Arabidopsis thaliana: one gene and its partner. The protein of the gene in region 1 purifies or fractionates together with the protein of each later gene. This does not show direct contact. Each region holds a gene or a part of one and is shown on either strand. Other genes may lie near its edges.

What was found.
Region 2: the proteins of CRN (region 1) and CPI1 purify together in Arabidopsis thaliana (affinity purification with western blotting, with the first as the bait; one study listed by BioGRID). This does not show direct contact.

The regions. Positions count from the first base shown.
Region 1 is NC_003076.8:4,248,154-4,264,953, reverse strand, and holds CRN (Protein kinase superfamily protein), read left to right. Parts: upstream 1-9,713; 5' UTR 9,714-10,632; coding exon of another isoform or gene 10,633-10,702; 5' UTR 10,703-10,717; coding exon of another isoform or gene 10,718-10,738; coding exon 10,739-11,634; intron 11,635-11,689; exon of another isoform or gene 11,690-11,720; coding exon 11,721-12,030; 3' UTR 12,031-12,112; downstream 12,113-16,800. Other genes in the region: AT5G13310 (uncharacterized protein), read right to left, coding at 1-720, 1,037-1,393; SFC (ARF GTPase-activating protein), read left to right, coding at 2,936-2,980, 3,645-3,721, 3,836-3,936, 4,219-4,289, 4,501-4,563, 5,031-5,075, 5,476-5,541, 5,637-5,684 and 11 more; AT5G13295 (uncharacterized protein), read right to left, coding at 10,633-10,702, 10,718-11,001; AK-LYS1 (aspartate kinase 1), read right to left, coding at 12,300-12,455, 12,530-12,592, 12,690-12,806, 12,902-13,018, 13,134-13,226, 13,315-13,434, 13,552-13,668, 13,758-13,853 and 5 more; RARE1 (Pentatricopeptide repeat (PPR) superfamily protein), read left to right, coding at 15,742-16,800. UniProt on the Arabidopsis thaliana protein: Involved in the perception of CLV3 and CLV3-like (CLE) peptides, that act as extracellular signals regulating meristem maintenance.
Region 2 is NC_003076.8:20,502,113-20,518,883, reverse strand, and holds CPI1 (cyclopropyl isomerase), read right to left. Parts: upstream 7,218-16,771; 5' UTR 7,029-7,217; coding exon 7,022-7,028; intron 6,937-7,021; coding exon 6,806-6,936; exon of another isoform or gene 6,556-6,805; coding exon 6,472-6,555; intron 6,321-6,471; coding exon 6,279-6,320; intron 6,129-6,278; coding exon 6,018-6,128; intron 5,930-6,017; coding exon 5,738-5,929; intron 5,535-5,737; coding exon 5,437-5,534; intron 5,131-5,436; coding exon 5,058-5,130; coding exon of another isoform or gene 4,953-5,057; exon of another isoform or gene 4,920-4,952; coding exon 4,803-4,919; 3' UTR 4,635-4,802; downstream 1-4,634. Other genes in the region: EXO70F1 (exocyst subunit exo70 family protein F1), read left to right, coding at 451-2,502; AT5G50370 (Adenylate kinase family protein), read left to right, coding at 8,253-8,373, 8,618-8,883, 8,971-9,138, 9,236-9,325, 9,401-9,502; AT5G50365 (uncharacterized protein), read right to left, coding at 10,108-10,113, 10,322-10,723; AT5G50361 (uncharacterized protein), read left to right, coding at 12,306-12,503; AT5G50360 (von willebrand factor A domain protein), read left to right, coding at 12,576-13,451. UniProt on the Arabidopsis thaliana protein: Converts pentacyclic cyclopropyl sterols to tetracyclic sterols.

The DNA of each region.
Region 1 (16,800 bases):
ATATTGACGACCTTTGCTTTGGAAACTGGTGCAGCTCTCTGATTCTCGTATTTCAGTATCCCCATCTTCTGTTGCACTTGGTCTCTCTTCTTCTGCCAACTCTCCAGCTACGATAGGCTTCGTCTCATTACAGTTACTACTGTCTTCACTTACGTCCTTGGTCTTATTCTGCGGAATAAAGGAGACTTTTGGAAATGATTCTGACTCTGGATTTTTCAATCCTTCAACAGCATTGGGAGTGTCCATGTACTCTCCTGTTGGGGACTCCACATCCAATTCACAAGATGGATCAAAGCTGTAACGGGTGTAACTCGAAGGATTTAGCAAGTAATCCGGTACCCGAGCACCACTTTTTCCCTGATGAGATACGATTTTTGACGAGGCAGAAGCTGAACAAGTATCTTCAGGCTTCTTCAATGTTTCTTCAGGCACAGAATCAAACCTGACTCGCTTACTTGTCCTTGCTTCTGAATCTGAACTATTCTCCTTCCTTTTGAGTATAGGTTTTCGCGGCATAGCTTCGGATGATTCTTCTGCGTGTGGCTCTTTGCTTTCCGAAGGTTGACTTGCAGAAGTATTAAACTTGTTAGCCTCAATTTCATCTTCCTTCAGCCTAATTCTTGCAGCAACATAGTTAGCACGAGGATCCCGAATCCGCCCACAGCCTTCACCGTCATTCTCTTCCCCTAGTGCAACTTTATCATACTCATCTTCCTCTGCCTGTGTTAAGAAGCATAATTCATGGAAACAACACTCAGCATCAAAGAAAGTGACATCCTATTCATAATACGGTATGTGCTACATATAGTTATAGCAAGAAAAACTCAAATTCAAGAATCTTAAAGCTGGTTACATAGGTTGATGATTCACGTACAAAAACTCTATAAGTCACACAAACCAATATGATACTACATTAAAAATTCAATGCTCTTCTCATATGAATCTACCAAATCCAAGAGAAAAGACCAACACTGTTCCCTAATTTCAATTAGCTAAGCAATGAGAAACAATCGTTAAGAGACCAAAATTGATTTACCTCGTCATCGAGAGTGCGATCAAGGCCCATGGAGGCTCTGATACTCCACACACCATCAAAATCCTCGCCGCAATCAATATCTTTGAGATCATCCTCGGAAGGCTTCTGCTGTTTTAAGAGCTCGTCAAAGGATGAAGCACAAGGAATCTCGTCTCTATCGTACGAATCTCGCTTCCACTCCCGCTTCTCTACCTCTGTGTCGGAGAGAGTCCACACCGACCCCGATTGCTGCCGCGACGCCGGAGCAGAAGACGACGTGGAAAACTTGGAAGACGAAGGACGAGAGAAGGGTAGAGATCCGAAGATCTTCGCAACGCGAGACTGGAAATCTTCGTCGGCTGATCCAGACGATGCCATTGTGAAGCTATTAGAAATTGAAACACACACAAATCGATTGCTGTGAATAAACGAAGAACGAACAAAATAATAGACCGCCTTTCGTGTGATCCTATAACAAAACAAATTTTAAATGGGCATTTTATAATGGGCCTGGCTTAATGGAATTTCCTACTTCTTGGCCCAATATCGGCCTACTAGTCACTGTTACCTCTATACAGTTTTTAATTTTTTTTTGGTTGTGTGCTAAAGTGGATTTTAGTATCCGTAGGCCGTTTGAGGTCAATAAGGAAATGAAAGATGCGACAGTCTAAAAAGGAAAAGAGAGATCTAAGTTACATTAGATTGATAGCCATATGTCGGAAATCATTTGAGAGAGAAAACATACGATAAATGTTGTGAGAAAGATGAAAGAAAATTGATGTGAGAAAATCTGATTAGAAGACCATATTAAATGTTGGTTAATAGTAATACATAATGTTCATTATTATGTTTTTAATTGCAGATGTCTTAGTTTTACCAGTTGAACAAAGATCTTAACCTAGATTTAAGACGATTATCGTTATGATTAAACAATATTGAACTAGCTGGACAAGACTCAAGAGATCATACATTTCATTAAACAATAAGGATTTTGAAACCAAGAAAATGTATTTTAATAATCATATGCGACTGTAAAGTCTGCAAAAGAAAGTAAGATCATCGTGTCCATTTTTTCCAAATTTCTCCCACTTTTCTTTTTGCTTTAACAATTTTTTTCCAAAAGAAAGTAATCATAAGTGTTCAATTTTTTATATTTAAAGATATTTTCATATAAAATAAAATAAACATGTCTTAAAAGGAATCATTTATACCCCACTGGCCTCTCTGTCTCTCCGGAACAAAAGATAATGGAGAAGCAACCAGATAACGGGTCCCACTCTCCCCTCTCTATTAATACTCTCGAGAGAATCGCGTTTACTACACGCGCCTCCTAATTTCCAGCCTCTTTAATACTACACGGGCTTTAAAGGCGCGTGGATATAGTGGATTTTAGCCAGAGTCCTTGTTTTCTCAGATGACCACTGTTACAGAAAAAGCACAGTCAGTCCTCTCTTTAAAAAATTTACACTTGAAACGACGTCGTATCTTACCAACCTTCACGATCTCCGGCGGTAACTAAAACGGCATAGTTTCGCCGTCTTTTGTGGTTAAAATTTTCACAAAGACGGTGAAGTTTTTTTTCTTCCTTTCTTTGATTTGTCTGTCTCTTCTCTTCTCCCGAGACACTTCATCTAAAAAACACACCCCCACTGTTTTCTTGTTTTGTTCTCTCTCGATTTCGCGAGAAAAAAACACCAGCTCAAAATTACGCTTGGCTCGAGACTTTGAAGATCATCGGTTTCTGTTTCTGTTGGATATTTCGGGGAAGCTTTGGGAGGAGAGGATCTCACGTTTTTGTTCGTTTATGGCGTCTGTGTGAGACATAGTGGTGGTTCTAGCTTTTAGGTTTTTGGTGTGTGTGTTCGTGTTATGTTAATTGCTGTTTGTGTCGAAGAAGAGGAAGTAATAAATTAGCTCAAAATGCATTTCACTAAGCTTGATGACTCTCCCATGTTCCGCAAACAGGTTTGTTTCTACTACATATCTTTGGTTCCTGTCTATGTGTGCTTGTCTTGATGTGTCCAGTCTTTTAGTGTCGTAGGTTAAAATTGGGTCATATTAGGCGAGATTTGTTCTTCAAAAGTTGTCAACAGATACTAATTTTGGAGCCATTAGGATGTGTTGTGTCTGGAATTTTGAATGTCCACCGACATTTATATTCCAAAATGTGAGTGGAACTTCACTGGAAGGTTCGAATTAATGTGTCACTAAGAAATTGGTTTATCTGGACGGCCTATTCGCGCTTTAACTTGTTGCTCCATGAAATGTGAAATGACTTATGATCCAGTGCACTTGTTTGGGTCTCTGATTCGTGTGTTTAGGATACATTTGTGTCCACTTAGCTACTACTTTCATGCTCACTGGTTTAGTAGGACTTCTGCTATCTAACTCAACTTAAATGCTAAGGAAGTTCCTAGTGTAGCTCAAATTCTGTCCAACAACTGCTCTGTTTGCCTGAAGTTGATGATTCTTTTGCCCCTATATAGAGTGCCTGAATCACTCAATCTTTGGGGTTATCCATAGTTGCAGTTTCTTCCATAATTGGATTGTGTCTTTACTGTTTTCTTTGCGTTTATGTATTTTTCCTTCCGCAGCTGCGTTCTTACATTGATATCTTTTTCTTAAATAGTTACAAAGCATGGAGGAGAGCGCAGAAATATTGCGGGAAAGAAGTCTCAAGTTTTACAAAGGATGCCGGAAATACACGTATGCTAGTTCAAATTTTCACAGCTAATTAGGATTGTAGCTCTACATTTAGAGTTTTCTTCTGGCTGAAACATGTATCTTTTAACAGCGATAGATTATTCTTTCTTTTTACAGTGAAGGACTAGGCGAGGCATACGATGGGGACATTGCTTTCGCAAGTGCACTTGAAACATTTGGTGGAGGCCATAATGATCCAATAAGTGTGGCTTTTGGAGGTATGACCGATTATATGGAAACTCGCAGTAGCATATTGTCTGTTTATTCCCATAATCTTTGCAGTTTTCATCTGAGATTCTTTGGCACTTTCCATTTTAGAATTCATAATTTCGTTTTTAAGCACTAAATACTGATAGTGGCCTTAAATTATGAGGGAAGTTGTTGTTCCCGCTCTTTCTCTTCGCTTTCTCTTTGCTAGGGTTGTTAGATTCACTGGTTTTGGTGGAAATGTTAACAATTTGCTGTTAAAAGTGCTGACAAACTCTAACTTGCTGTGCCAGGACCGGTAATGACGAAATTTACAATTGCGTTGAGGGAAATTGGGACTTATAAGGAAGTTCTTCGGTCACAGGTATGCTAGTTTGCTATTTTGACACTCTCTGTTTCTCCCTATTCCCAGCCTTCTCTCTGATAACTCCTGTGGTATCAACGTAGGATAGCTTTGTTTTCCTTCAGCAAAAATGGCCTCTTTATAGTTTGCTTTACCTTAAGACATCATATAGATTTAGAGCAGATCAAGTCATTTCAATCCAGGTTTTGATTTTGATGAGTTCCATTGTCAGGTGGAACATATACTGAATGACAGATTACTTCAGTTTGCCAATATGGACTTGCATGAAGTTAAGGTACAAGCTGCTTCCTTTATTATTGGCTTGATATACATGTTTTGAGTTAACTTTGCATCATTGAGGTATTAGTATTGACTAGAATATCTATTAAACAATGGAGGACAAATATTCTGCATGTGTGAATAGAGAAAATATGAAGACCTGCCAAGAGGCATTTAATTTAATATGGACATTAGGTCTTGTTCTTCTGGTTTGACTTGCAGCACTAGAAATCTAAAAAAAAGAACTAATTATCACTCATGTGGTCAACCTTCCCCAAACAAAATATAATTGTGAATATTTTCTGAGGTCATTAATGTAGATAAGGTCTGATGATTGCGGAAAATATGGTTAAGTTTCTTGAGCCTGCCTTTACATTGTGGCTAGTCAGCTTGTCCAGATATATCTTTTTCCATTTTTATAGTAGGCTAGCATGACATGGTTATATTTGGATATGGAACCCTGAGAGATCATTTTTGCCACAGGAAGCTCGGAAGCGCTTTGACAAGGCTAGCCTTACCTACGATCAGGTATCCCTTTTGTCAAGGATTTTTGTTTTCCCCACTCCGCTGACTTGGTTTGCACTACAAAAGATATTTTGGAAAGATTAAAAGTTCTCATCCTGACTCTTTTCTTTACTAGATGTAAATCTGTATGAAAAGTTTCAACCAGACAAAATGGGTCGAGCTCAAATATTTTAGAATCATTCCTCGTTAATGGAGGAACGCTAGGGTTCCTCTTTTTCAAAGTTATGATATGTGTTGCAGTTTCCGTGCAGGCAGTGTATAAATTTGCAGAAACCTAGCTAGTTTTTTTGTTCATGCTACATTTGTAGCTTGGAAAATAACTGATAGAAATAGAGAGGCATATTGGGTCCACGGCTCCCACTTATCTGGACGATTAACTAATTAACTTCTTATTGTGCTTTAGGCCCGTGAGAAGTTTTTATCTTTGAGGAAAGGTACAAAAAGTGACGTTGCTGCTGCTTTAGAACAGGTATGGTGCATGATTTTAGTAAAGCTCGTTTCTGATTTTTGATAACCATGTATTTTTATTTCTATGTTGTAACTAACATATTTTGACACTGACAGGAACTTCATACTTCGAGGTCTATGTTTGAGCAAGCTCGGTTCAACCTTGTAATTTTCTATCGTTTGATCTTGAGTGTTCAAATCTACATACTTGCTGTCCATACGTAGTATTGTTGAAGTAATCATTTGGTTTCCCTAATTTATGCTCAGGTGACTGCTCTATCAAATGTTGAAGCTAAGAAAAGGTTTGAATTTTTGGAAGCAGTCAGTGGAACAATGGATGCACATCTTCGGTACTTCAAACAGGTAAGTTTGTTATGCTGCTTAGAATTATAAAATAGTCTGGAAAGGTTTGTGTCAAATCTAAACGTGGTTGCTTTCAGGGTTACGAATTACTGCATCAGATGGAACCATATATCAATCAGGTCGGTTTAATGTTATTTTCCTTTTCTTCAAGTGATAGATCCCTAAATATTTGGGGTTTATGTATAATTCTCTTCTACGACTATGTATGAATCTTCACATGTGTTGAAAACGCGGAGATAGTAGCATTTAGAAAACTACTTATACATCAACTCTTTTTTTGTAGGTCTTGACATATGCGCAACAATCCAGAGAAAGATCAAATTATGAACAAGCAGCACTTAATGAAAAGATGCAGGAGTACAAAAGACAGGTTGATCGAGAGAGCAGGTGGGGTTCAAATGGTTCTAATGGATCACCAAATGGAGATGGCATACAAGCAATCGGTAGAAGCTCTCACAAAATGATAGACGCCGTAATGCAATCTGCTGCAAGAGGAAAGGTTGATCAACGTCTTTAACATATGATTGATACATCTTCCAGAGAGTACTATTAACATTTCTTGGTGCTTTCAGGTGCAAACAATAAGGCAAGGTTATCTCTCTAAACGATCTTCAAACCTGAGAGGAGACTGGAAAAGAAGGTTTTTTGTTCTTGACAGCCGGGGAATGCTCTATTATTACCGAAAACAGTGTAGCAAACCATCTGTGAGTTTTGGTTTTATATTTATCTTTTATTTGAAAACAGCAGAATTATGCAAACGGTATGGTGTTCATAAAGTAAAAATCTATTTGACCCATTCTTTTCACACTCTGACTTAGATTATTTGATGTTTAGGGGTCTGGAAGCCAGCTTTCTGGACAGAGAAATAGCTCCGAGCTTGGGTCTGGACTGCTTAGTAGGTGGCTTTCTTCGAATAATCATGGACATGGTGGTGTCCATGATGAGAAGTCTGTAGCTCGTCATACAGTGAACTTACTCACCTCAACAATTAAAGTCGACGCTGATCAATCAGATCTGAGGTTTTGCTTTAGGATCATATCACCTACAAAAAACTACACGTTGCAGGTTTGATTCAGAGTGTTTGTTACTGCCTTAAAACTTTATTGTATACATGTTTGCCCAAGTTTAATAGTTTTCACTCAGTGTTTACTTATGTTTGTCAGTGCAGGCTGAGAGTGCACTCGATCAAATGGATTGGATAGAAAAGATCACTGGGGTTATTGCATCACTACTTAGTTCTCAGGTCCCTGAACAGGTAAGTATTATCATTATTCCTTTACCTGACCAGGCTCATATTAAATACCAATGCAACTTTGGTGATTGTCCATCGGCTACATTTCAGCGTCTTCCTGGTAGTCCCATGGGAAGTGGCCACCATCGATCTGCTAGTGAAAGTAGCTCATATGAAAGTTCTGAATATGATCATCCTACTACTGAAGAATTTGTATGTGAGAGGAGCTTTTTGGGGTACAATGAAAGGCCATCAAGAAGTTTTCAGCCGCAACGGTCCATTAGAAAGGGTGAGAAGCCCATTGATGCTCTTCGAAAGGTCTGTGGGAATGACAAATGTGCGGATTGTGGAGCTCCAGAACCAGACTGGGCTTCTTTAAATCTGGGGGTTCTTGTCTGTATCGAATGTTCTGGTGTTCACCGTAATCTTGGTGTGCATATATCTAAGGTAAAAAATCTCCAGAACTCTTAATTGCTTAGAAAATATATGTAGGCTCTATAACAACCAACTTATGGAAGGACGTAAAGAAGTCCATGAGAATTTTGAAGTGACACTAGGCTTATATTCAATAGCAATTCAGATTATAGAGCATGTGATAGAATTTGAACTTTGGATGGCTCGGCCTTCAATTTGACATAAGTTATACAGCAATCTGAAGTTGGCTGTTGCTACAGGTTAGGTCACTCACTCTCGACGTGAAAGTATGGGAGCCATCTGTTATAAGTTTGTTCCAAGCTCTTGGAAATACTTTCGCAAACACAGTTTGGGAGGAATTGCTTCATTCAAGGAGCGCCATCCATTTTGACCCCGGCTTAACAGTGTAAAACTCCATTTATGTTTGAAAGTGATGATAACTTTGATCACCTAGAAATCATAATGTTAAAATTACTCTGCCAAATATGTGCAGGTCTGATAAATCCAGGGTGATGGTCACTGGAAAACCCAGCTATGCTGATATGATATCTATCAAGGAGAAGTATATACAAGCTAAGGTTTTTAAGCTTCTACCCTTTATTTGATTCCTTATGTTGGAGATAAATGAAGCTATTTTTCTTCTCGAGGGCGTGCTTATTTCTTCCCAGTATGTTGTTCCTTCAAATATTCATTGAGCATGTAGAAAATATTTACTTTCGAGGCATTCTCTCGTTGCTCGGTCATAGGCAATGTTCAGGAAAGCTCATTCAAACTTTTTTTTTTTTTGTCATTCCACAGTATGCGGAGAAGTTATTTGTTCGGAGATCAAGAGACAGCGATTTCCCACAATCAGCTGCACAACAAATGTGGGACGCAGTGAGTGGCAATGATAAAAAAGCTGTTTACCGGCTCATTGTCAATGGTGATGCGGATGTGAATTATGTGTATGACCAAACTTCCAGTTCTTCGTTAACACTTTCCAGAGTAATATTAGTACCAGAAAGGCCAAAGCGTGAGGATGTTCTACTCAGATTAAGAAATGAGTTACTTGATAGAACAGGTAGTTCTTCAAATATATCTCCTGAGGGAAGCGGAGGTTCCTCTCTGCTTCACTGTGCTTGTGAGAAGGCAGACCTTGGGATGGTAGAGCTTTTGCTGCAGTATGGTGCAAATGTAAACGCCTCAGATTCAAGTGGTCAAACGCCGCTGCACTGTTGTCTTCTCAGAGGAAAAGTGACAATAGCAAGATTGCTTCTCACTAGGTGAGTTGGTCTTCTTAGATCCGCTTATCCAAAATGTCCCTAACATTTTCTCTGGCTAAATCCTTTGGAAATGTTAAAAGTTTTCACACAAGTTGTGTGTATGTTGCAGGGGAGCAGACCCGGAAGCTATGAACAGAGAAGGCAAAACCGCTCTTGATATTGCTGCAGAGTCAAATTTTACTGATCCAGAAGTTCTTGCTCTCCTTTCAGACACAAATGGATACAATCACAGACAGTGCTGATAAAGATGCATAGGCTTGCGGACATAAAAATTCCGGAGCTATGTTTCATCGTTGCTTTCACGGTCTGAAGAGCCAATCAACACTAAAGAAGGACCTCTAATGGTCTCTAGCAAGTTTAGCCCCCAATTAAGTATTGTATTGATGTTTTTGTGATGGATGGATATAGGCTGCATATTGGGAAATTATAGTGTATTGTATTGTGTCGTGTTGTGTGTATGTGGGACTATAGCATCCTGAGTTTGTCATGTCCAGACGTTGTAACTTGTAAGCAATTACTTATGGTTTTGTTCACTTCGTATTAACGTATTTAATTTGTGGCTCGATTTTGGTTTTGAATCTGTGTCAAAACTAAGATAATTTACGTGTTAAACCAGGCCCAAGTTTGAAAGTTAATTGTCAATTTTCAGACCAGAGTACATATTGGTCCACTTATTCCCATTACATTCATAGTTTTGAGTCTTTTGATAATAGTGTTACCATTTCAATTAGGCTAATCTTTTTTCAACCCAAGATATTTTTATAAAAAGGAATGTGGTTCAAATCGGAAAACAAGACCTAACTTTGAATAAAAGCACTACAGCATAAAGCTTTTACCTTTAACAAAAAAAATATAATAATTTTTTACAAGGAAAAAGAAGAGAAAGCAATTATTCTCAGACAAACAAAGGAACCACTTTTGTAGGTGTAGTAGTAATCTCACACGCTAAGACAAAAGTGCACAAATTCTCGAGACTCTCTTCTATCCAACGGTCCATATCTCACTAACCGCATCTAAATAACGGACAAGATCTTCTTTTGGCTTCAGCTCTCTTTAGTCTTTACCTTCCCTCAAGCTCGGTACTCGATGTCTTGCTTTCGGCCACTCATGAAAGCAACGAGAGCTTCCCCTTTCATCCGCCTACGTGGCTATGGGACCCAGTCTAACCACGACCACCTGACATCGTGGGCCCCACTGTAAGGCGGGAACCCCATTTTTTTTTGGCTGTAAGTAACGGATTCTCGGTCATGCTTTTTTGTGAGGATAGAGAGAGAGACTGAGAGAGAGAGAGAGTGTGTCACGGTCTCGCAGATACTGTGTATTGAAAAGAGAGTTCTAGAGAGAGAGTGTGTTATGTGTGTGTGTGTGTGTGTGTGTGTGTGTGTGTGTGTTTGGTTACTGGGATTAATTGAGCTGAAACAGTTTGGATAGTTTTGTTTGTTCTGTTTCATCTTTCAACCACAGATATAGTAATATTGTGAAAACCCCTCATTGAAGTTTGTTCTCTGCTCTCTCTTTTTGGGTTTAGCACTGAGTTTTGGGGTTTATTTCGAGACATACCCATACAAAGTTTGATACTTTTGTGTCCCCCCTTATCAAGAAAATTGTGGGGTTTTTTTTTTTTTTTAATAAGCTTCCTTTAAATTTTCAATTTTTATTTTGGAGGAAAAGAGTGAGAATTTCAGATAAGAATCTATGAGCCAATGATATTCTAATTCATCTTCTTCGTGAAGATTTTGAGTTGAATTCCATTTTCCTTTTTGTCTTGGTGGTTTCTCATTGGTTTTCTCGAGAATATTTGTGGTTTTGGGAGAAGAGGCTTCACTGTAGCATTGAAAAAGTCTTAAACTTTTCTGTGTCTTTTTATGTAAGCTTTGAACAGCTTCACCTTTCTGGGTTTTCTCAGATTGTGTCTAATCTTGAAAAACCTTTTATTCGTAGAAGCAGCAATGAAGCAAAGAAGAAGAAGAAATGGATGTAGTAGTAGCAACACTATCTCTCTACTCTTATTATTCTTCTTAGTCTTCTTTTCAAGAACAAGCACAAGTACAAGTTGTCGTAGAAGAACTGTTAAACACTTATCCACAACTTCAACATCATCTACACCACTTGAATCAAGAATCACTTCCAAGGTTATTGTGATTAGTATCGTCTCAGGGATTTTAACAGGGTTGGTTTCAGCTTTGGTGTTAGCTTTCTTGGTTCGTAGCATTGTCAAATTCATGAAACAGACGCCAATTCTCAAAGGTCCAGTGGTGTTTTCTCCTAAGATTACTCCTAAATCTCTCCACGCAGCTCTCAGTAATGGTATTCAGTTGCTTGGCTCTGACCTTAATGGTAAATACTATAAGATGGTTCTTGATAATGGTCTAGTGGTTGCAGTCAAGAGACTAGGCTCACTTGAAGGAGTTGGTTCACCAGAAAGTAGTAGTAGCAAGTCGGTTAAGAGAAGGTTGCAGAAGGAACTTGAGCTTCTTGCTGGGTTAAGGCATAGGAACCTTATGAGTTTACGAGCTTATGTTCGCGAATCTGATGAGTTCTCTCTGGTCTATGATTACATGCCTAATGGTAGCCTTGAGGATGTGATGAATAAAGTTAGAACGAAAGAGGTAGAGCTTGGATGGGAGATTAGGCTTAGAGTTGCAGTTGGAATTGTGAAAGGGCTTCAGTATCTTCATTTCAGTTGTGAGACCCAGATTCTTCATTATAACCTGAAACCTACAAATGTGATGTTGGATTCTGAGTTTGAGCCTCGGCTTGCTGATTGTGGATTGGCCAAGATCATGCCTAGTTCACACACAGCGGTATCTTGCTACTCTGCCCCTGAGTCCTCTCAAAGTAACAGGTGCTTCAAATATCAACACCATAGCCTTTGAGTTAACTCCTTTTTCATCTCTTTTACTAACACGGTAATGCAAATCCTTGTGACAGATACACAGACAAAAGCGACATATTCAGCTTTGGGATGATATTGGGTGTTCTTTTAACCGGAAGAGACCCGACCCACCCGTTCTGCGAAGAGTCTGCAAGCGGAGGTAGCTTAGGACAGTGGCTGAAACATTTACAACAGTCTGGGGAAGCACGAGAAGCATTAGATAAGACTATTCTTGGAGAGGAAGTGGAGGAAGACGAAATGTTAATGGCTTTAAGAATCACCATCATCTGCCTTTCTGACTTTCCGGCAGACCGGCCTTCAAGTGATGAGCTTGTCCACATGCTTACACAACTGCACAGCTTTTAGCCCAACGTACTTACATGTATCAAAACCTCTGTAAAACCAATCCAGACATCTGCAGTTGCATCAATATATTCTTTTTTCTTTATTCTTGCTAGTAACTGGTTTAACTTTGATCACGCAAATGGTACAAAAAATTGGTCTTACAACAGTCGAAAGGTAGCCAGCAGTTCCCGTTCCTAAACGTAGGACAACAAGCAGTGCTTGATGAACGTACATACTACACTCAGAAGGAATACAAAGAAAAACACAGATCAAGCAATAAGCTTGTCGAGTCAATTTTCTACTTGCAGTGTCCTGACAGGTGACCCGTTGCCAAGTCTGGGTTGTATCAATAACTCTGAGAGGTCACCGCTCTCGAAGAAGGATTTGTGAAGAGCCTGAACACAACCTTCAGCTTCAGCTTCGTTTACTATAAAGGAAATGTTTACCTGCGAGATATTGAAACAAGAAAGGAATATGTTAGGTGAGAACGGAAAGAGAGTTTTGTGATAAGCAATGTTACCTTGGATGCTCCTTGTGATATCATCTGGACATTGACACCTTTGGTATAAAGAACATGAAACGCCTGCCCAAAGTTAAAACAATTAAGTAAGAAGCGCACAAGAAATATATCTTTCTTTGTTAGAATCTTGAAGTAATCTTATTAGGAGACCAGATCTAACCCTCTCTAAAATCAGGGAGGAATGTTGAACATTCCCAATTAGAGAGATGATTGCTCTTCCTTTTAGAAGATTCACAACTGCAATTTTCTCCAGTTCTTCAACTACATGATCAAGCTCCTGTAACAAGAAAAAAAAAAAAAAAAAAAAAGGACTTTGAAAAGCACGCATAAATGAATTGGGAATCACGTATTGGGGATTCTACAAGAACTTACCTGTTGAATCAGTTCTCTGCTCCAAAGTTTTGAAGGATCCAGTGTCAGAGATATACTGACTTCACTAGTGGCAACAACATCTACGGAAATGCCAAGCTCCTCAAATATCGAGAATACCTAGTAAAAAGAGTGAGGCAAGCAGGCAGTGTTGATTATTAACAACACCAAAACGACCACAGGGTGGAGCAGCCCACAGTTCAGACCATGCCAATGAAAAAGTGTACATCCTTACCTTTGCAAGAAAGCCAACTTGACCAAGCATTCGGGTGCTTGCTATATCCAGCATGGTCACATTACGTTTCAGAACAATGCTCGTTAGAATACTCTGTCATGAAAAAGCAAAAAACAAAATTGTTTGCTATGAAGGTTCTCACATGAGATTCATAAAAGAACACAATTAGGAGACAATATACCTTGGTCATGTCTCTTGTTTTAGTGATGATAGTTCCAGGAGCCTTAGGGTTATAAGAATTTTTAACCCTAACAGGAATCTCACCCTCTCTTGCTGGTCTCATTGACTGTGGGTGCAAGACCTGCAGCAACAAGTGAATTTCCTTACTTAACCACTCGAGCATTTACAACATACAAATTTTCATGTAACAATACTAATAACTACACTTGAGTATTATTGCATACAAGTAGAGTGGGACCTGTGCACCAAAATAAGCTAGCTCGGCTGCTTCGTCAAATGTCAGATATGGTACTGGTGTAGCTCGCTTATATATAGTAGGGTCACATGTTAGAACACCATCGACATCTTTCCACACCTACTCAATGGAAAAACAAACATCCAAACTGAACAGAAGGTATGCAACGTTTGAAGAGAAAACATTACACTTTGAGATTGTAGAAGAACCTGAATCTCTTTCAAACCCAACGCTTTACCAATTGTGGTTGCCGTCAAATCACTGCCACCCCTACCCAAGGTAGTAACCGCACCAGTTTTCCAACCCTATTAGTGAATGAAATAATTAGGCAAGCCACAGAAACATGAATGAAAATCTTAATTATCTGTAGATTGTAAACTGTTTGAAATACCTTCCCAAGGAAACCTGTTACAATAGGAACAGCAGGATCATGCATCCAATCATCATATAATCTCTTGGCAACAGCTGGATAAGTTGCCTCCAGGATATCCCCATTTGTGAAATCATCCGTTGTAATGAAACCAATTTCAAATGCATCATACTGCAAAGTAATGGTCGATAAATCTACTTAGCTATGTTTGCGAGCCGGATCATTGTGCAATAAAGCTCACACCAAGGCCAGTTTAGCATGTAACAGAGAAAGTACACCAATATGTGTTCCTTGATAACCGAAACCAAACTAATAAAAAAGTTAAATGACCAATTCAGAGTATATAGAATTTGTTTATCATATTTTCTAAATCTAGATTGAACTTTTCTACCCTAATCTACCAAGATATCAATTTGACTAAATAAGCAACCAAATGTGATATATAATATAATTAAGAAAATTACAGTAGAACTAAAAATATGATGATGGACATACTTGGCGTGCCTTGACACCGATTGTATTAAGATAAGCAGCAAAAATCCTTGTAGACAAACACTCTCCAAAAGAGACTAAGTAATCTCTGGTTCGAAGTGTCAATTCCTTCATCATGGCAATGCCTTTCAGGAGTTGCTCCAGTTCCTCCAAATAGGCTGCAAAATGTATCCAAGATATAAATAGGCAATGCATGTACACTCTTGAATTATTACCAAACTCATCACAAATCAAAAATTTATGAGCCTTATCAGAATTAGAAAGAAATGAAGCTCCAAATGTTGGAAAGTCTACAAGTTAAAATATGCTCACTCAAAATAACAGAGGGATCAATGTTGAGCTCTTTCACCGTCCTGAAACAACAAAAAAACACATTCTTGATCAAAACCAACAGCAACAAAGGAAAAGATACTCAAAGGTACCAAATTAATCATAGTTACAAGAAACCAAAACCTGATATGCAATTCCTTTATAATGCTCAACTCCTCAATCTCAGATGCATTAGAAACACCACAACTAACCGCCTTCTCTCCCGCCTTCACTAGCAACAAAACCAATAATTCCAATCAAAAAAATTCAAAACTTTGAATAGAAAACAGAGAAAAGGGAGAGAATCTCAGCATTACAAGCAAGAGATTGTTGGTAGTTTTCCCCATAGCAGAGAGAACAATGACGGGACTTTCTTCCGGAAAAGTCAAAATCAAATCAGCAACTTCCTTCATTCTCTCAGCTGACGCCACCGAAGATCCACCAAACTTCATCACGCACGTGATACCCTTCTCATCTACCTCCGTTATCGCCTCTGTCTTCTTCTCTTCCAACACAGCTCGCACAATGTTTCTGCTGCCTGAACCTGAAACCTTTCTAATGGAGGAGCCATCTCCAATGGGTAATGATAATTTCTTCAGCGTAGGGAAATCGACACGATTTAGAGAAATCGGTAGCGTCGGCGAGTTTCGGTGGCGGGTAAGTGGCAATCTGGTGAAAGCTGCATTGCTATGACAACAACGAACCCTAGTAGCCGCCATTTGAGAGGAGGAAGAAGAAGAATATTATTGATAGGTTTTTAAAACAAGAAGAGGAGAGAAATCGTACGGCTCACTCTCATTTGATGAGAGACACCAAAGAAGGAAACTTTGAACCTTCCACTCTTCGGGTCTCTGTACTAAAACGCTGTCGTTTATTACCAACCATTGATTTTGATTTTGACCCGTTTTGGTTGTTGGCTTGTTGCAATAACTGAAGCCAGTAAAGTCTGAGTTTTTTGCTTCTCTGTCGTTTGTTCTCGAAAGGGAAAAGCTCTAAACTTTTGTAGAATTTCTCCATCAACTATGACGATTCTCACTGTACAGTCTTCGTTTAGCTCTTCTCGAGTTCCGGTTATAAAGAACGCGAATTTCGATCAAATTCCGTCGTGGGTTTCTCTGAAGTCGAGCACTTCTTCTCCGTCTGTTAAAATCTCGCATAAGCAAGGACAAGTAGAGAATCTTCATTTGGTTTCGTTGTCGAAGCATAGGAAGCTCAACGAAGCATTTGAGTTTTTGCAAGAAATGGATAAGGCTGGTGTCTCCGTTAGCTCGTATTCTTACCAATGTCTCTTTGAGGCTTGCAGAGAATTGAGGTCTTTATCTCATGGGAGACTCTTGCACGATCGCATGCGGATGGGTATCGAGAATCCTTCTGTGCTTCTTCAGAACTGTGTGCTTCAAATGTACTGTGAGTGTCGGAGCTTGGAAGATGCAGATAAGCTGTTCGATGAAATGTCTGAGTTAAATGCAGTTTCTCGTACAACGATGATATCTGCTTACGCCGAACAAGGAATTTTGGATAAAGCTGTTGGTTTGTTCTCGGGAATGCTAGCGTCAGGCGACAAGCCTCCTTCTTCCATGTATACGACACTCTTGAAATCTTTGGTAAACCCCAGGGCTTTAGACTTTGGTAGACAGATTCATGCTCATGTTATACGTGCTGGGTTATGTAGCAACACATCTATAGAGACCGGGATCGTGAACATGTACGTGAAATGTGGTTGGTTAGTGGGTGCTAAGCGAGTGTTCGATCAGATGGCAGTGAAGAAACCAGTGGCTTGTACGGGATTGATGGTAGGTTATACTCAAGCTGGAAGAGCAAGAGATGCTTTGAAACTATTTGTGGATTTGGTAACGGAAGGTGTTGAATGGGACAGTTTTGTGTTTTCAGTTGTTCTTAAAGCGTGTGCTTCTCTTGAAGAGCTTAATCTTGGCAAGCAAATTCATGCCTGTGTCGCTAAGCTTGGATTGGAATCTGAAGTCTCGGTTGGAACTCCACTTGTTGATTTTTACATCAAATGTTCCAGCTTCGAGTCTGCTTGTCGTGCATTTCAAGAAATCCGTGAGCCAAACGATGTTTCC
Region 2 (16,771 bases), about 16 Mb from region 1:
ATGAACAATTAAAAAATCACAAAATCTAACCATTTTGAAACAGTCTAAATAAAACTCCTTGAACTAAATTTGAAACAGTCTAAAAACTCTATCCAAAACTTGCAGCAATTGAAAAAAAAAAGACTAAACCGAAAGTAACCAAAAACATTACCGTACTTTTCTGTCTATCTGTGATTCGTAGAAGAGAATTAAACCGGAAAATAACCGGTACCAAAACATTTAGGTCAACGAAAACGTATTGACTTTGTTTCTTTTTTTCGGAAAGACCAAAAACAATCCATTTCGCTGTCTTTGTTCCACTCAAACCCTAGAAAAAAATTATACTCTTCTTCTTCAATTCAATCTCTCTCAAGTTTTGATCTCTAAATCTCACAACACGATCCATGTCTTCATCTTTCTGATTCACCTACCTCTCTATTTTGATTTTTCCCTTTTCGAATTTCTCCATAGATGGCCGCAACAACAACCACGGCGGCGAGTATCAACGCCGAAGCCGGAGGTGGTGGTGGGGGAGCTGAAGACCGTGTTCTCGCTACGGCGCAACAGATCATGAAAAGCCTCAACACACCAAAAGAGGTTCGTGAAGATATGTTACTTATCTTCTCAAGCTTCGATAACCGTTTATCAAATATCAAAACCGCGATGACGAACCAGGAAGAGAATCAAAACGACGCTCTTGTGGCGCGTTTAGAGGCTGCAGAATCGGTTATTCATCGGTGGGATGGTGGTAATGATTCTTCTCGTCACTCGTCTTCGTCTTCTGGTAACTATCGTTCCTCTTCGTTTTCTCTTTCGTTTGATGAATCTCCGGAGGAAGCTACCGAGTTTCTTTCAGCTGTTGATGAGATTATCTCTTTGCTTGAGGATCTTTCGTCTGAGAATAAGCCTGATATGGTGGATAGAGCTGATAGTGCTTTGCAGATGGCTATGTCTCAGCTTGAAGATGAATTTAGACGGATTTTGATTCGTAACACTGTTCCTTTAGACGCTGAGCGACTCTATGGCTCGATGCGGCGTGTTTCGTTGTCCTTTGCTGATGGTGATGTTGTTGAGGATTTTGAGAATTTTGGTTTGGTTGCTGATGGAGATGGTAGTGGGAGTAGGAGGAGGTTGTTTCATGAGAGAGGAGGGAGTATAGGGTGTGATCTTTGGGTTGATTTGATTAATCCAACTGCTGTTGAAGATTTGAAGGAGATTGCAGAGCGGATGATTCGCGCTGGTTATGAGAAGGAGTGTGTTCAGGTTTATAGTTCGGTTAGGCGTGATGCTTTGGATGATTGTTTGATGATTCTTGGTGTTGAGAAGCTGAGTATAGAAGAAGTTCAGAAGATTGATTGGAAGTCTATGGATGAGAAGATGAAGAAGTGGATTCAAGCTGTGAAGATTACTGTTAGGGTTCTTCTTGTTGGTGAGAAAAAGATATGTGATGAGATCTTTAGCAGTTCGGAGTCGAGTAAAGAGGTTTGCTTTAACGAGACAACTAAAAGCTGTGTGATGCAGTTGTTGAATTTCGGAGAGGCTGTGGCGATTGGTAGAAGATCATCAGAGAAGTTGTTTAGGATTCTGGACATGTATGATGCGTTGGCTAATGTGTTGCAGACTTTAGAGGTGATGGTCACTGACTGTTTTGTGTGTAATGAGACCAAGGGGGTGTTGGAAGCACTGGGTGATGCTGCGAGGGGGACTTTTGTTGAGTTTGAGAATAATGTTCGGAATGAGACATCAAAGAGACCGACGACAAATGGTGAGGTTCATCCAATGATACGTTATGTGATGAATTACATGAAATTGATTGTGGATTATGCGGTGACCTTAAATTCGCTTCTGGAGAGTAATGAGTCAAGTGGCGTATCTGGTGATGATAGTACAGAAGAGATGTCTCCTCTTGCGAAAAGAATATTGGGGTTGATTACGTCGTTGGAATCAAATCTTGAAGATAAATCAAAGTTGTATGAAGATGGTGGGCTGCAACATGTGTTCATGATGAACAACATTTACTACATAGTTCAGAAGGTGAAGGATTCTGAGCTTGGTAAACTCTTGGGTGATGATTGGGTTAGAAAACGAAGAGGGCAGATACGTCAATATGCTACCGGTTACCTCAGGGCTTCCTGGAGCAGGGTGCTATCTGCTTTGAGGGACGAAAGTATGGGTGGAAGTTCAAGTGGTAGTCCGAGTTATGGACAAAGAAGCAACAATTCTTCCAAGATGGCGTTAAAAGAGAGATTCAGAGGTTTTAATGCCAGCTTTGAAGAGTTATACAGGCTGCAAACGGCTTGGAAGGTCCCGGATCCTCAACTTCGTGAAGAACTGAGAATATCTATATCAGAGAAAGTAATCCCGGCTTACCGGGCTTTCTTCGGAAGGAATAGGAGTCAACTAGAAGGTGGTAGGCATGCTGGAAAGTACATAAAGTACACACCAGATGACCTGGAGAGTTACTTACCAGACCTATTTGAAGGAAATCAATTGGTTATTCACCACCCGAGAAGGAAAAGTTAAGGCTCTTGCTAGAAGATGATGACGATTGACGAGGACTCTCTTGCTTGAAGGACAATCTTGTCTGTTTGAAAGATGATAGTGGCCAGGTAACATATAAGTCAGGGGTTTAAGTTATATATGTGAAAGTCGGGCTTACACCCTTTTTATACACTGTCAAAATTCTTATGTACATGTCTTAATACTTATCATGTTATGACCATGGGTTTTATATAATGATTATGCTCTTGAATCAAATGGTCTTTGCTATATATATGGAGCTGGATGATATTACTTTCTTGTTGTAACGTATCTCTGTACTTAGATTTGATAGTAAAAGTGTGTTTGTTGCATAGAAATGATAAGTTAAGAAAATTTCAGTTTATAATAGTGGGTGATTCCGCATTTTCCAAATCACAGATATAATCTGTTTCCAAGACTTCGGCCAAAAATCCAGTATGTATATACCCAAAGAAAACACAGGTTGAGCCACATTGGAGAGCAAATCTCATAAAAACATACATGTCACTTAGACCAGTGTGTTATTTTATTGGCACCAAAAAAAATGTTCTTGGTTTCAAGTTTTGTGTTCGAGTAGCTACAAAATACAAATCCAAGTTTCTTGGACAAGTACGACCATGGAAACTATTCATATCCACATACTTTGACATAGACTATGATAACAGAGTATGCATCTGCTACCTTTAACATTCCATCCCAAGCATTGTCGCTCGCTTCCAAGATTAACTTTAAAACGTGGAGCATCCTTCTTCTTGGGCTTGGAATCAGGTTGTGGCTCTCCCTAAGGAAATCATAGAAGATTTGGACAAAAAATTGATCAATTCAAAATTTAGATTTTCTTTAGAAAACAAGAAACATGCGTTTTATAATATTGTGGGTTACAAAAATAGTTTCAACATTTTATAAAGTGGTTAATGCGTTTAAACTGTGTTAAGCTGATGTTGTTTAATGTTTAGACTGCTTGATGTTTTAAAATTTGATCTCTAGAGATTTTTACATTCACGTTGAATTCGAAAAGAAGTAATTAATCTTGACGAAAAAGAAGGGGTTACACAAGTCTGAAGTTGTCCATCCTGATTCTCAAAGCAAAGGTATGATGATCTTCATGAGTCCTTGCGTTACATTGCACAATCTTCTATTTTGTTTTGTTTTGTTTTGTACTCATTTGCTTTTTTATTGCTACGTGTTTTTGTCTCTCTCCCTATGAATTTATATGTCTCTTTGCATGGATGGTTTTTTGCCTTAATGGCTTAATCGGAGTTTGGATTTCTCAATTTTCTTGGTCCATACTCTTCTCCTTCGTGTTGATATATGAGTTAGTGTGATTTAGTCTGGATTCAGGGAAGTATTTTTCTTGTTCTGTGAATAGCATATACTTGGGTTAGAAGAAACGAGGTCAGTCATGCATTAATTGATGGTATAAAGCATTAGTGGCAGTACTATTTTGATGATACAATAATGGCAACTTAACACTCTTGAAATATTTTTGGGTTGTTTCATTTTCTGATCTTGTGGCAGTAATGTTTTGTTATTCTTTCCAGATTTTATTCAAGAAACTACAATAAACCTGAGTTAGTATCAGTATGATTCTGATTCAGTGTTTTATGTTTTTTATATTTAAAAGTTGAAGGATGCTCCTATAATAGAATTGTTGTTGTATCTTGAAACAGGGTTATCTTATGTGAATGAGACTTAGATCTTATATTAAATCATTTTTAAACTCTTACACTCCAAAGACTCATTACAAACCACATTAAAACTATGACATATATGAACAAGTAAACTCTTACGGTTAGTAGTCGTATCTCCTTAATATTCTCAGATGCAAAGATTACAAAAACGGAGAGCAGTCTTGTTCTATCTCCCACTACTAACCGGTCTACGGACAAAGAACTGAGAACGTGTACTTGTTCAAGGAATCATGGATGGTCACAGGACCAGGTAATGTTGATCTTGGACCAGAGATTAGTGTTCTGATTGTGGTTGCAGTTATGCACTGCAACAGTCGTCCCATATAAGTTAGTGACTACAACAATGGAACAAATGCTACGGGGGAGGTTGCAGAAGTAAAGTAAGCCCTTAGCTACTTCATGTGATGAGACTTTACCATTTAATATCAAGTTTTGGTTCTTTCAATGGTGTTATGGTCTTTCTTGTTTTAATGAACTTAAGAGGACGAACCAATATATCGAGTCCACAACAAAAAACGAAGTTCCATTCTGTTCTATAAAGGATAACTTGAAAGGTTACATTGGGAAAGTTCATCAAGAGAAACTGAAAACCAAAAACAACTAACAAACAAATCAGCAGTTGGAGAAGAAAAGCCTTAGAAACATGCCCTGCATTAACTGCTTCCCAATTCCGTAAAGTGTTAATGGAAATTCCTTTGCAGGTTTCTCTCTCAGTCCCATGTCAATTCCCTGAATTGGTGGAAGTAACCGATCTTTCAATCTTCAATTGGAGAACCATGGTAATCCAGACTGAAGGCAGTTTTGTCCCTCCGGTAAGGGAACTATAGGTCCCAAGAAGAGACGCCATAGATCAAGAATGATTGTTACCAACATAGCAGCACCCAAAGCATCAACAGCCACTCGAGATAAATCCCATTCATCAGTTGATTTCTCATCCATCCTGCAAACAATGAATAAAACATATGAAAACAGATAGACAACAACTCGAGGTAATCAAATAGCAATAAGAAGGTGAGACGGAAGCATATCACAGAGACTGTTCAAAGAACTCCTCAAGACACTTGAGAAAGACCTGGTTCTCCATTTAAGTCTTTAATTCCTATATTTTAAGACTCTCAAGAAAATTCAATCAATTAATCCGGTGTATCTAACAACTATCACTTGTCTCAGTTTTGATATGCAACAGTCATGAAGGTGAAAAGATTCACTGCTTCTATGAGATGATAGAAAACTATGCTTTCTTTACCTGAAGAACATTGGGAAGCTCACAATGAAGTAAATGGCATAGAAAAGACATCCAACTCTGTACATGGCACTTCGGTCCACAAACTCATAGTAAGGAAACTGCACAAGTTTGAAAACAAAAACAGAACATATGAGCGGTTATTGTCAAGTGACTAGTTTCTAAACAAGATTCTAGAATGATTAAGTAGATAAACGTAGTCTTTAAGCAGACTATAAGAGGAATTTGTGATATATGATAAAACACCAAGTAGAGAGCTCTTTTTATAGGAAATTATCAAAGAAATGTAGACATCACAACGTACATTTGCGATAGCAATAGTCTCCAAGTATGCAATGAAATAAGAAAGCGCAAGTATCCATGCAGCCTCAAAACACCATTTCAGAGAATCTGGTAAATCAGCAGTGGAATGGCGTAGCCTCCGAAGAGTAATGTTCGATGCAACGTGGTAAAAGAGGAAGCAAACATGTGTTAGGAAGAATGTTGTGTGAGGCACCTGTTCAACACAAAACCCCTGCCATAAGCTCATGGAAACAAGAAAACTACTCAATAGAACAAATCTGCCGAGATAATGCTGTGCTTACATTATTCATTTTCCATGATGGAAAAGTATAGGACGCTCCAAGAACTTTAAAGAAATAGTGAGTCCAAAAGTAGTTTCCGACATAGCTGAAAACAATTATCCAGAGATTTGCCTGTGGTAAAAACATGTTCCAATCAGTACAACTATGGATGAGATCTTGAGAACTCTCACCAGTACTCAAGGAAGTTAAAACAAGTTCTAAAAATAGTTTGAAACTAGAACTGGCAAGCCAAAATGTCATGCACATAGAAAAAAAGCTTGCCTTAACCCAATAGCGGTCCTTCCAACATAAACTTCTGTCGGCCTGAAAGAATAATGCATATATTCTGAGTCCATATGGTAAGGAAAACAATAGAGATTTGCATTCAATTGGAAGCAAGTAGCTAGTAGACAAACAAGTATAGCACCACGAACACGTTAGCTCACAGTGAAAGCAAAAGTTGTCAAAAAGTAACCTTTCCAACGAGTAACATGGGTATAACGAAAGCAGGAACAGCTGAAACCAAAGCTAGAAGCAGATACTCCAACTCCGTGAATGTCTGCTAGTTTGCAAAGTAACTAACACTTATTAGTACTTCTTCAATACCACTTAAAAGACAACTTCATACAACAGTAAAATTTTCAGATCTCTAAAACACTGACATGGTAAACAATGAGACATCATTTCATAAACTTTGTTGATCTAATTTAGCAGATAAAAAAAAGTGAATAGCTACTTCAACTCTGTCTCATCGTCTCCTAAATACATCAGACACTTAAAAACAATGCTCATTTGATGATCGCATAGACCTCGTAAAGCTTGTAAGGAACAACGATGCCTAAACAGAGAGTGAGCCAAAAAGGAGTGTAGAAGAGGAAGAAGAGCTCTCCCCATCTCTTGCTCGGATTCGGTGCCAGCCACAAGCTCGGTGAAGAAGATCCTATCAAATGTAAATCAAAAAAATCAGGGAATGGGGACGAGAGATTCGAATCAGAAGAAGAAGAAGAGATCGGCGATAGTTTTACCTGACATAATCGCTCCGCCGGAGAATCTTAGAAACGTTGACTTGAGTAGTGTGAGTGAGTGAGCCGAGATTTTGTGTACGGGCGACCAAATAGATCCCAATCAAGCTGACGTGGCAGATGTACTCAGTGATGATGATTTTGACGAAAGCTAGATCCGCTCGCTCATCGTTCCTATTATTTTACCGTTTATTATGACATCACCTCTTTTTTCTACTTCTTTGTTGCTAAATTGTTATATTTGTTGTTCCCTTTTCCCAACATAAGAAGTGGGCCTATGTTAATTTAATTCTAAAATAATATGTAATCTAATTTTATTTTTTATTGTTAAATTTGATTTTAAAAAAATGTATATAGCAAATTGAAACTTTTGAGGTAAAGAGTTTATTTATATTTTTAGAATTTTCAAAAAGCAGATGTATGTGATCGTAAAAACGTTTACAATATATGTAAAGTTGGAAAAAAAAAAGCTTATATTATGTACTATTTTGAATTTTATAGTATTATTTTGCATTTTTTGGAAAACTCTTTTATTAATGTTAAGAATTTAGAAAAATACAAAAACTTATTAATAAATAAATATACAAAAATTATCAAGAAAGAAACTAATGATGTAGTATTCATTCATATCTTTAATAACCAAACATTGATGGAGTTTGGCTTTCAAAAAAAAAAAAGAAAAATGTGGGTTTTCAAGAGTTTAATTGTCTTATTGACGAAAAGTGAATGTGGTCTAGTGGTATACTGATATTCATAAGTCTACCATAAACTAGCAAAATCTTCAACCTCAGTACTTAATATCAAATTAAGTTTCTTAACACTAGTGTTAATTGGACAAATGACCGGTCCATCGTGCCTTAAAACCGAAAAAATGTGTTAGACTCTACTTATTCTATGTTTTCTAGTCCGCTTTTTTTGGTTCACTTGACCTAAAACATAATGGTTTGTTGGAAGTATTATATGATATTTGATTTTATGTAATTATGAAAAATGTGCGATATTAGATGTGTAAGAAGAAAGACTCGTTTTCAGAGTTGGGTGTGTCACCAACCCCAGGCAGGTTGTTGTTGTTCGAAGGGCAGGCCTTTGTAGTTGTTGGCACAGTTAAGGGTAAAATCGTAAAACGGTGAAAGAAAACATTGGAAGCATCGAATCCAATACACGCACTTCAAAAAGAGAACACAACTCCACCGGACCAAATCTAATTCTCTTGTAAGAGACGACGACGACGAACATGGCAACGAGCAGTGCGGCTTCTGTTGATATGGAAGATATTCAGACTGTTGATCTCATGTCTGAGCTTCTTCGCCGTATGAAATGTGCCTCTAAACCTGACAAACGTCTCGTTTTCATCGGTACAATCATCTCTTTCGTTACCTCTGAATCTTTCACTCAATCGGTACTTTAGGTTTGATCTCTGTGAAAATTGTGTAGCGAAAGTTCCGATTTTTATCTGTTTTAGTGTGTAAAAATTGCATTTTGCTGTTATCGTTAATGCTTTATCTGATGATCATAGCGAAGGGATTGTGAATTTGTGTTTTTTGGTTCAATAGAAAGGAAGAATTGAGTTTTGGTTCATGTATGATTTGGAATTTGCAGGTCCACCTGGTTCAGGGAAAGGTACACAGTCTCCGGTCATAAAGGATGAGTTTTGTTTGTGTCATTTGTCTACTGGTGACATGCTTAGAGCTGCTGTTGCTGCTAAGACTCCTCTTGGTGTGAAGGCAAAGGAAGCAATGGATAAGGGAGAGCTTGTTTCTGATGACTTGGTTGTTGGTATCATGGATGAAGCAATGAACAGACCCAAATGTCAGAAAGGTTTCATTCTTGATGGGTTCCCGCGGACTGTGACTCAAGCAGAGAAGGTTTCTGGTTCTTTTCTGTGGTTAGTTGTTTGTGTATCTGCTCGCTCTTGTAAATGTTCTGACTTTTTTTGTTTATAAATCTTGTAGCTTGATGAGATGCTTAATAGAAGGGGAGCTCAGATAGATAAGGTGCTTAATTTTGCGATCGATGATTCGGTTCTCGAAGAAAGAATTACTGGAAGGTGGATTCACCCTTCAAGTGGAAGAAGCTATCATACTAAATTCGCACCTCCTAAAGTTCCAGGAGTCGATGATGTAAGAAAAACCATCAAATTCTGATTCATCATTTTGACTTAGTAAATCGAGTTCTCTCTTGTGATTTGATCTCTGTATCAACTTCGTTGTTTGTTAGCTGACTGGAGAGCCATTGATTCAACGTAAAGATGACAATGCGGATGTTCTTAGATCAAGGCTAGATGCATTCCACAAGCAGACGCAACCGGTATGTTTCCTTATAGTACATGAACTTGAGGACTATCAGAGAATTTGACATTTGTTCTTGTTGTTGTTGTTGCAGGTAATTGACTATTATGCGAAGAAGGAGAATCTGGTGAACATACCGGCAGAGAAGGCCCCGGAAGAGGTTACAAAAGTGGTGAAGAAGGTTGTGTCTACATGAAACTGAAAAACGAAATGGCATCAGTTTAAGATGTATCTTTTTTTGCTTATCTTAAATAACTCTCCTGAGTTTTTTTATTTGTTTCCCCCGGAATGTCTTTTGTCTTGAGAGCAACATTTGCTGCAGTTTTGTGCAGTGTGTTTCACTAAGGCTTATTGTTTGCGACTGGAAATGTCAGGTGAATAAAGGAAAAACAAAATCGTAGTAAAATAGTGGAAGATTGAAAACATTAGAATCGCATAACATTGAAAACAAAATGGTAGCTTATAAAGAATTGGTGATCAACTGTAAGAATTGGTAGAGCAGGAATCCAACAGATTCCAACGGAATTGTATATAGATCATCTCATCATCACAATGAGATAAGCGATATGAAACCATAGTTAGTGAAATTCAAGTTTTTCAGATTTATAGATTTATTTTGGATAACAAAAAAAGGAATAAAATACAAGTAATTCATATATTTGAATAAAGATATCATCATTACAATTTGAGCTTCAATGAACTTGGATGGTAAGATAAATTTTGAAAATGTTTGGGGTATAAAATGTTGAATTGTATTCTTATTATTTATTTAAATAATAGTTTTTGCCTATATTTTTTCAGTCAAATCTACTATATATTAAAAAGAATATTTTCGGGAAAATATCTTCAGTGTACCATACTTAGAACACATTCCATATTAGAAAATATTAAATCTTATTCTTTAGTTCTAAGATGATAAGATAAGATTTATGACAATGTTATAAAACTTAAACATAGTCAATAGTTCTAACAATTTGTAAAAGTATCTTGTAATGACGAAATCAAATTTTTTTACTGTGATAGCATTGTTTGTTCTCCTCTTTGTTGGTGTTCTTGAAGCCAACAAGAAGAGCCTCTTACATGAATCTGAAGATTTTCGACAGTCCGAAAGTTTGCTTAAAAAATCAGTTGATCCAATACGCGTCACAAGATGGCTCGTTCCCCCTTCAGGACCTAGTACCAAAGAATCACCGGGTACAAGATGGTTCGTTCCACCTTCAGGTCCTAGTACCAAAGAACCACTAGTTAGGAGATGGTTTGTTCCACCCTCAGGACCTAGTACCAAAGAACCACCGGTTGCACACAACGCAAATATGAATTTATGGTGACCATCACAACGTCTGGTTTTAGGAATGTTACCTAAGAATGTTCCAATTCCTCCAATGAGAACTAGCAAAAAAAAAAACTTTAAATCCATAAAAAAATATGTCTTGAATTTCTTTTTTTTTTAAAGCAAATCTAGTGTAAATCATAATCCAACCAAAGTTCTAGCTACAATAAAAACAGGAGCGTTTTATTAGTGTGCTAGTGTTCAATAAAATATGCATCAACATTTCTTTCTTTCTTTTTTAATTATTTCTTGTAGTTTTAAAAAATACGGGTTTAATTATCTTATTTTGATGAATTTAAGATTAAAGTTGTCAAATTTCAAGAATTTGGATTCCAATGAACAATCAAATTTAAATTATCTTAAAGAGTTGGCATCGTCATGTTCATATACTTCATAGTTACATATACACACATTCAGTCCATAATGCAATATATATATGCAATTTAATTTATCTTAAAGAGTTGGCACTGGAACTATGAATTGGTAATATTATTAGTTATTGTTCAATATTTAAGAATCAGAAAACTAAAGTTAAACTATAATTTTATGAATTTACAAGTTTATTATTTCAAAACTATAAAAATATTTTACAAACCATAAAAGTGAATCTTAATAAAATATAAAGTATTTACAAGAAAAATGGTTGGTTAAATAATTATCAAAACATTCTTATAAGCAGTAAAATGTTCTTATTTTTTAACAAATTTTTTGTAAAAAAATTGAATAAAAAATAAAAATTATGACCACATTGCAATTGTTTAACCACAACATATTTTGTGCATTTATCTGACATGGCATTCATAATTTCTCTGTTAGAATTTGGACCGTCATAATAGTAGTTACTCATTTTCTTATTTTAATCAATAATTACACAAAATAAATAATTATAATGGAAAATTTAACTTCGGCCGGTTATAACATTTCCATTCTGCACTGTGTTCTATATTCATGGTCTATAAACTTTTATGAGGTTACAGTCTTGTTATAACTCACCGAAATCCGGAACATTGAAAAAATAGTAGATATGCATATTTTATACTACTTATATTTTCCACCAATTATATACATGCTAAAAGTATCTTCTTCTAGAATTACATTGAGTTGGATTATAAATAGGTTATGTGGACAACTATTGAATCGTACTGAAATAATAGTGATTGAAAATTAATTAGATAACATGTCTATTAAACGACACATGACATTTTACATGATTATATTTTTTTCTTATCTTCAACTAATATCTACTTAATTGATCATATCTGTACTTTTTTTTGTCAAACGAATAGTTAGATACTAATACTAAATTTCATGCGGTTTATTGTTTTGTAATTTAGTGAAATCCGGAAGATTTCGTAGTCGTAGTAGATATTTATAAAGTGTGTATTATACTATTAATATTATACTTTCCACCAATTATATGCATGCAAAAAGTATCTTCTTCTGGAAATAAATGCAACCCCACATCCAAAGGAGATTCGTGTCACAGCGTTACTCCCCACGTGTCACAATCTCCCCATCCTACATGCTAATAATAGAAACCAAACTTAAAAAAAAGAATCTCAAAACTTTTGAACGTAGAAAACAGCAAACAAGATCACGGCATGTGTCCTCTCATCTCAAAACCAAAACCCTCGCGTTCTGTTACACGTAACTCCAAAGTCGCAGCCTTATGTGTCTACCTTTAATCGCACCGCACCTAATAGCCACTCCTCGCTCTCCTATTGGTCACCACTTCCCTCGTACTTCGAGTCTCAATGTCGGATTCAAACAAAACGCCACGTCTCTAACCTTCGTCCAATCACGTCGTTGCGCTGTTCATCGTTTGGTCTCGCACGTGGCAAGGTTTTCTCCAAACGTGTCGACGTAAGAGTTTTCTTTTCTTTATATACACACCAAACACTTCTTCTCCAACAAAACAAACTTGTTTGTTAGACAAAACATGAATTTCCGGGGAGGTTGTTGTATTGCGAGGTACGGTGGTAGTGGTGGTGGAAATGATATGTCGAAGGTTGATCGGATTATGCTCCGGTACCGTCCGATTGCACCGAGACCTGATTCTGGTGGATCTCCTGCTTCACCGACGGAGAAGAATGGATCGGTGATAACTAACGTTTCGTCGAGATCACGGAGAGGTAAGAGAAAATATTCAAAGGAGAATAATAGTAGCAGTACCGGATCCGTTAATAGTAACGGTAACAGCAAACGACAGAGAAACGATGAGACGAAGAACGGATCTGGTGGTGGTAGAGAGATCGTGACGTTGCCTCTTCTTCCAGAGACTCCTGAGAAGAAAGACTCGCCGTTGAAGGCTAAGGCGGCGCCGGAGTTAGGTGCGGCGGCGTTGTGGCTGAGTTTTAATGACGGAGCTAGTTATAACAGACGTTATCAGACAGAGTTAATGACGGAAACGGTTGTGTCGTCGTTGTTGACGGTGGAGTGTGTAACGGAGAGATTGATGGAGGGAGAGTATGAGTTAGGGTGTACGGACGAGGAGAGGAAGATGAATCTTGAGAGAGACACGTGTCCTGGTTTTATATCGGACGGTTTAGGGAGAGTCATTTGGACGAACGGTTCTTACAGAGAGTTGGTGGTTGGGAAAGATCATGAGCAGTGTAGTAAGATGAGTGTGTGGCTTGTGATGAAGGAGAAGCCTTTGGTAACGTACCGGACTTTTACGTGTAGAATGAGATTGCAGTACACGTGTCGTGATAAGGAGGTGAGTTCGATTACTTCGTTCTGTGATGTTTGGAGGATGAGTGACGGTGGCTTTGCGTGGCGGCTTGATGTTGATGCTGCACTTTGCCTTGGACGGTGAGGATTGGGCCGTTGGATTAGAGATGATGTTAGATTGATGAGATGAGGATATTTAATAACGACATGCAAGTTAGATAGATATTTGGACTTCCAACTTTATGAGTGTACATACATATTTCGCAATTTTGTAGCTTTTAAGTTTTAACATTTTGATTTCAATGTTCTGTTTTAATTTGTAGTGTTTGGTGTTTTATTCTTCTTCTTTTTTGGGGTTTGTATAAAAACTCTTGGTTAGTCGGTATCTTTCTTTTTTCTAGTATTGTGCTTTGTAGGATTATGGAATTAGTACTTAGGTGAGGATCTTATGTTTAATCACACAATGGAATGCATTAAATTTTTTGCTTACTCTTAGAAAAAGCTTAACCTTCAAATTAATTTGGAGATATTTGTTAAAACACATGAGGTGAAGTAGACTCCTTAGTACTTAGTACATGTATAATAACGTAAAGTTTCATTAAAAGTCTTGAAACTAAGATCGGATAATATTTTCAACATCATACGTTGAAATTCCACTCCTATTCTCCTAGGAAAATCGATATGCACTTTACATTTGGAAACACTTGATGACATAAAAGAGACTACGTTTAAAACTGCACTAGACTAAATCAACTGTTATTTCCATCGTTATGAGATTCTCGTAGCCGTAGGCCGTAGGTAAAATACTTCATGTCTCTCTACACATGGCCAATTGGATACATTTTCACCAAAGCTCTTACGTAAGGAATTTGACTAATTTCTAATTAAGTAAGTTGAGCGTTTGATATATCATATATATCATCTTATATTTTCACATATTATAGTTTTGACGTTAGAGCCGTCAATGATAGATACAGAAAACCATTTATATTTCTTCGTTTCCAACCACTTTCCTATTATATTTTTAGTTAGGAATAAGTTTATTAAATGTTGAAAAGATTATTACATATATATGATGAATCATTCTTTCTTTTGGATCAAATATTCTATGATAGAATTTCTCTAGGATCTAGGAGGAGGACATGGTCGTCCACTGCCTCCTCCAGGAGGTGTACAACTAGGGTATACTTTTATCTTGACCTCTTTGAACACCGATCGTTCCCAAACCTTTTCTCCTGTAATTTTGTTCCAAAAAGAAAACATTAGCAACTACCCAATCAATTTTTCAAACTTCAACTAACTTATGTGTTATAGCATATTCTTCAAATTAATTGTTATTTTACTTTCCAGTGTAAAATTTTATTTTATACGTATTTATATTTAGAAGATTATTTTGACAAACAAACAAAAAATGCAAATATGTTAATAACAAGAAGCAGTCTAACCGCCACCATTCATGGTTTACCCATACATGCACTGGAATCGAAACTATTGTAATATTCGGTTTTAGCTTTTCTATATTGTATTCTAGAAAATCTCAACTGCAAACAAATCAATATCGTTATGGAAAAATGCTCGGAATGATAATAATGATAAAATCTTACGTAGGTTTGGAGATTCATACTGTACTCGAGCCAATGCTGTGTTTGATAATCCAGAAAGCAAGAGAGAGCTCAAAGTTAGTAAGCAAACCACGACGTTATACATTTTCTTCATTGATTTAAATGTAAGAATTTCAAAACGTAAATTCAACTATAAATAGAGAATTAGTGAACTCACGTTACGGTGTTCAATTCTATATTATACTTTTAAAAAATGAGATCAAGTCTTCTATTTTGAATCGGTCAACTTCAATTTTAATTCTTGTGGAGCACCATGTCCAGGTTCTATGTTCAAGTGAGCTTGATTTAAACCGCAATAGCTTTTGTTATTCAATAAAAAATCGAAGAAATATTGAATAAGTTCGGTTTTACACCAAGTAACATCCCATATAAAGTTATCTTACTCTTCTCATTATAAGATGTAAGCTTGGATGAACACATGCATGTGAACCCAAATTCTTACAACATATAAGACTTGAATAAATACATGTGAACGGTGATTAACTGCAACTTGATCATTCATGACATAGATGAGAGATCCCAAAGAATTCTTCAATAGAAAAATATACACTTATAGTCGTATATATTGTTTTTGGTTCTTGTCATCATTTTAAAAGAGAACAGTACCCTACTTTATGAAGAACAACACAAACAAAACTGTTCCCAAATACATTTTGGTTAGTAGCCAAAATAAGAAAAATGGGTCTACAAGTGAAGGCATACATGTATAGAAGTGAAACAATGACAATTGTATTTCGCTAATTAACAACATGAATCAATATGCATCAAATCTCTTTCATGGACTGAATTACGACTCATGGAAATACGAGAAAACAAAATTTGCTTGAGAAATTTATCAAAAAGAATTTTCTTAAAAAGAAAAATTTATTAGTTTACATAAAAAAAGAAAGAAAATTGAGCGCAAAATGAACAAATTAAAAATCTTCCATAACATAACACTATATGTCAGCATCCTAATGAAAATGTTTTATTGGGGAATCTTGGTCTTTTCGTACGTCAACGTGTTCTCAACAAGACATAATATATAAATACAATATAGAGGAGAAAAATGAAGTTGGACCAATTCAGATTCATACAAGAAATTCATCTTCTACAAACACGTGTATGTCTTAGTCTAAATTGGAAGTTAAGGACATATATAACGCACCTAACCTTATAAGTTTATGTTCTCTACATATAAATACAAAAATTTATCAAACTTATATGAGTTTCGACGACCAACGAAAAGATCAAACGAAAAGAAAACATACGTTGTTTGGTTTGGTTAATAATTTTGGTTGTTCTCTTGTTCTTTGTATCATCAAACACAACCTTCACTCGATTAAACACCGTTTCTAGATTTTTTTTGATGAAAATAAACCCTCAATTTAAAAATTAAAAACGGCAAAACAATTACTAAAGCTATTGTAGAGTGTATAATTGTAGATGACCCATAAAAACAAAAAATAAATTTAAAATATCCTTTAAATAAATCTGCTACAAGCAAAATAACCATGCTTATCTTCATTTTGAGTTGATTTTTCTACTTACTCAAGCTTATGCTTCTGCATTAGTGAGCCTAATAATTTATTTTTCTTAATGTTGCCCTCAGAATAGTAGTTTAAAATAAGCAAATCTCTTACCAAACTTTAAAAAACTTTTTAAATGTACATGTAAAGAAATAGTATTATTTTGGTAAATAATTTAGTAAGGTAGGATATGTCAGTGATTTCGGATGAATCCCAAATATTCCACATTTAAATAAAATTCCTATATAATATGATGTTTTGCAATTGTTATAATAAAAAATATTGTTAATTTTGCATTTTCACTTAAATTTTTTAAAATTGTTATTTTTACTAAA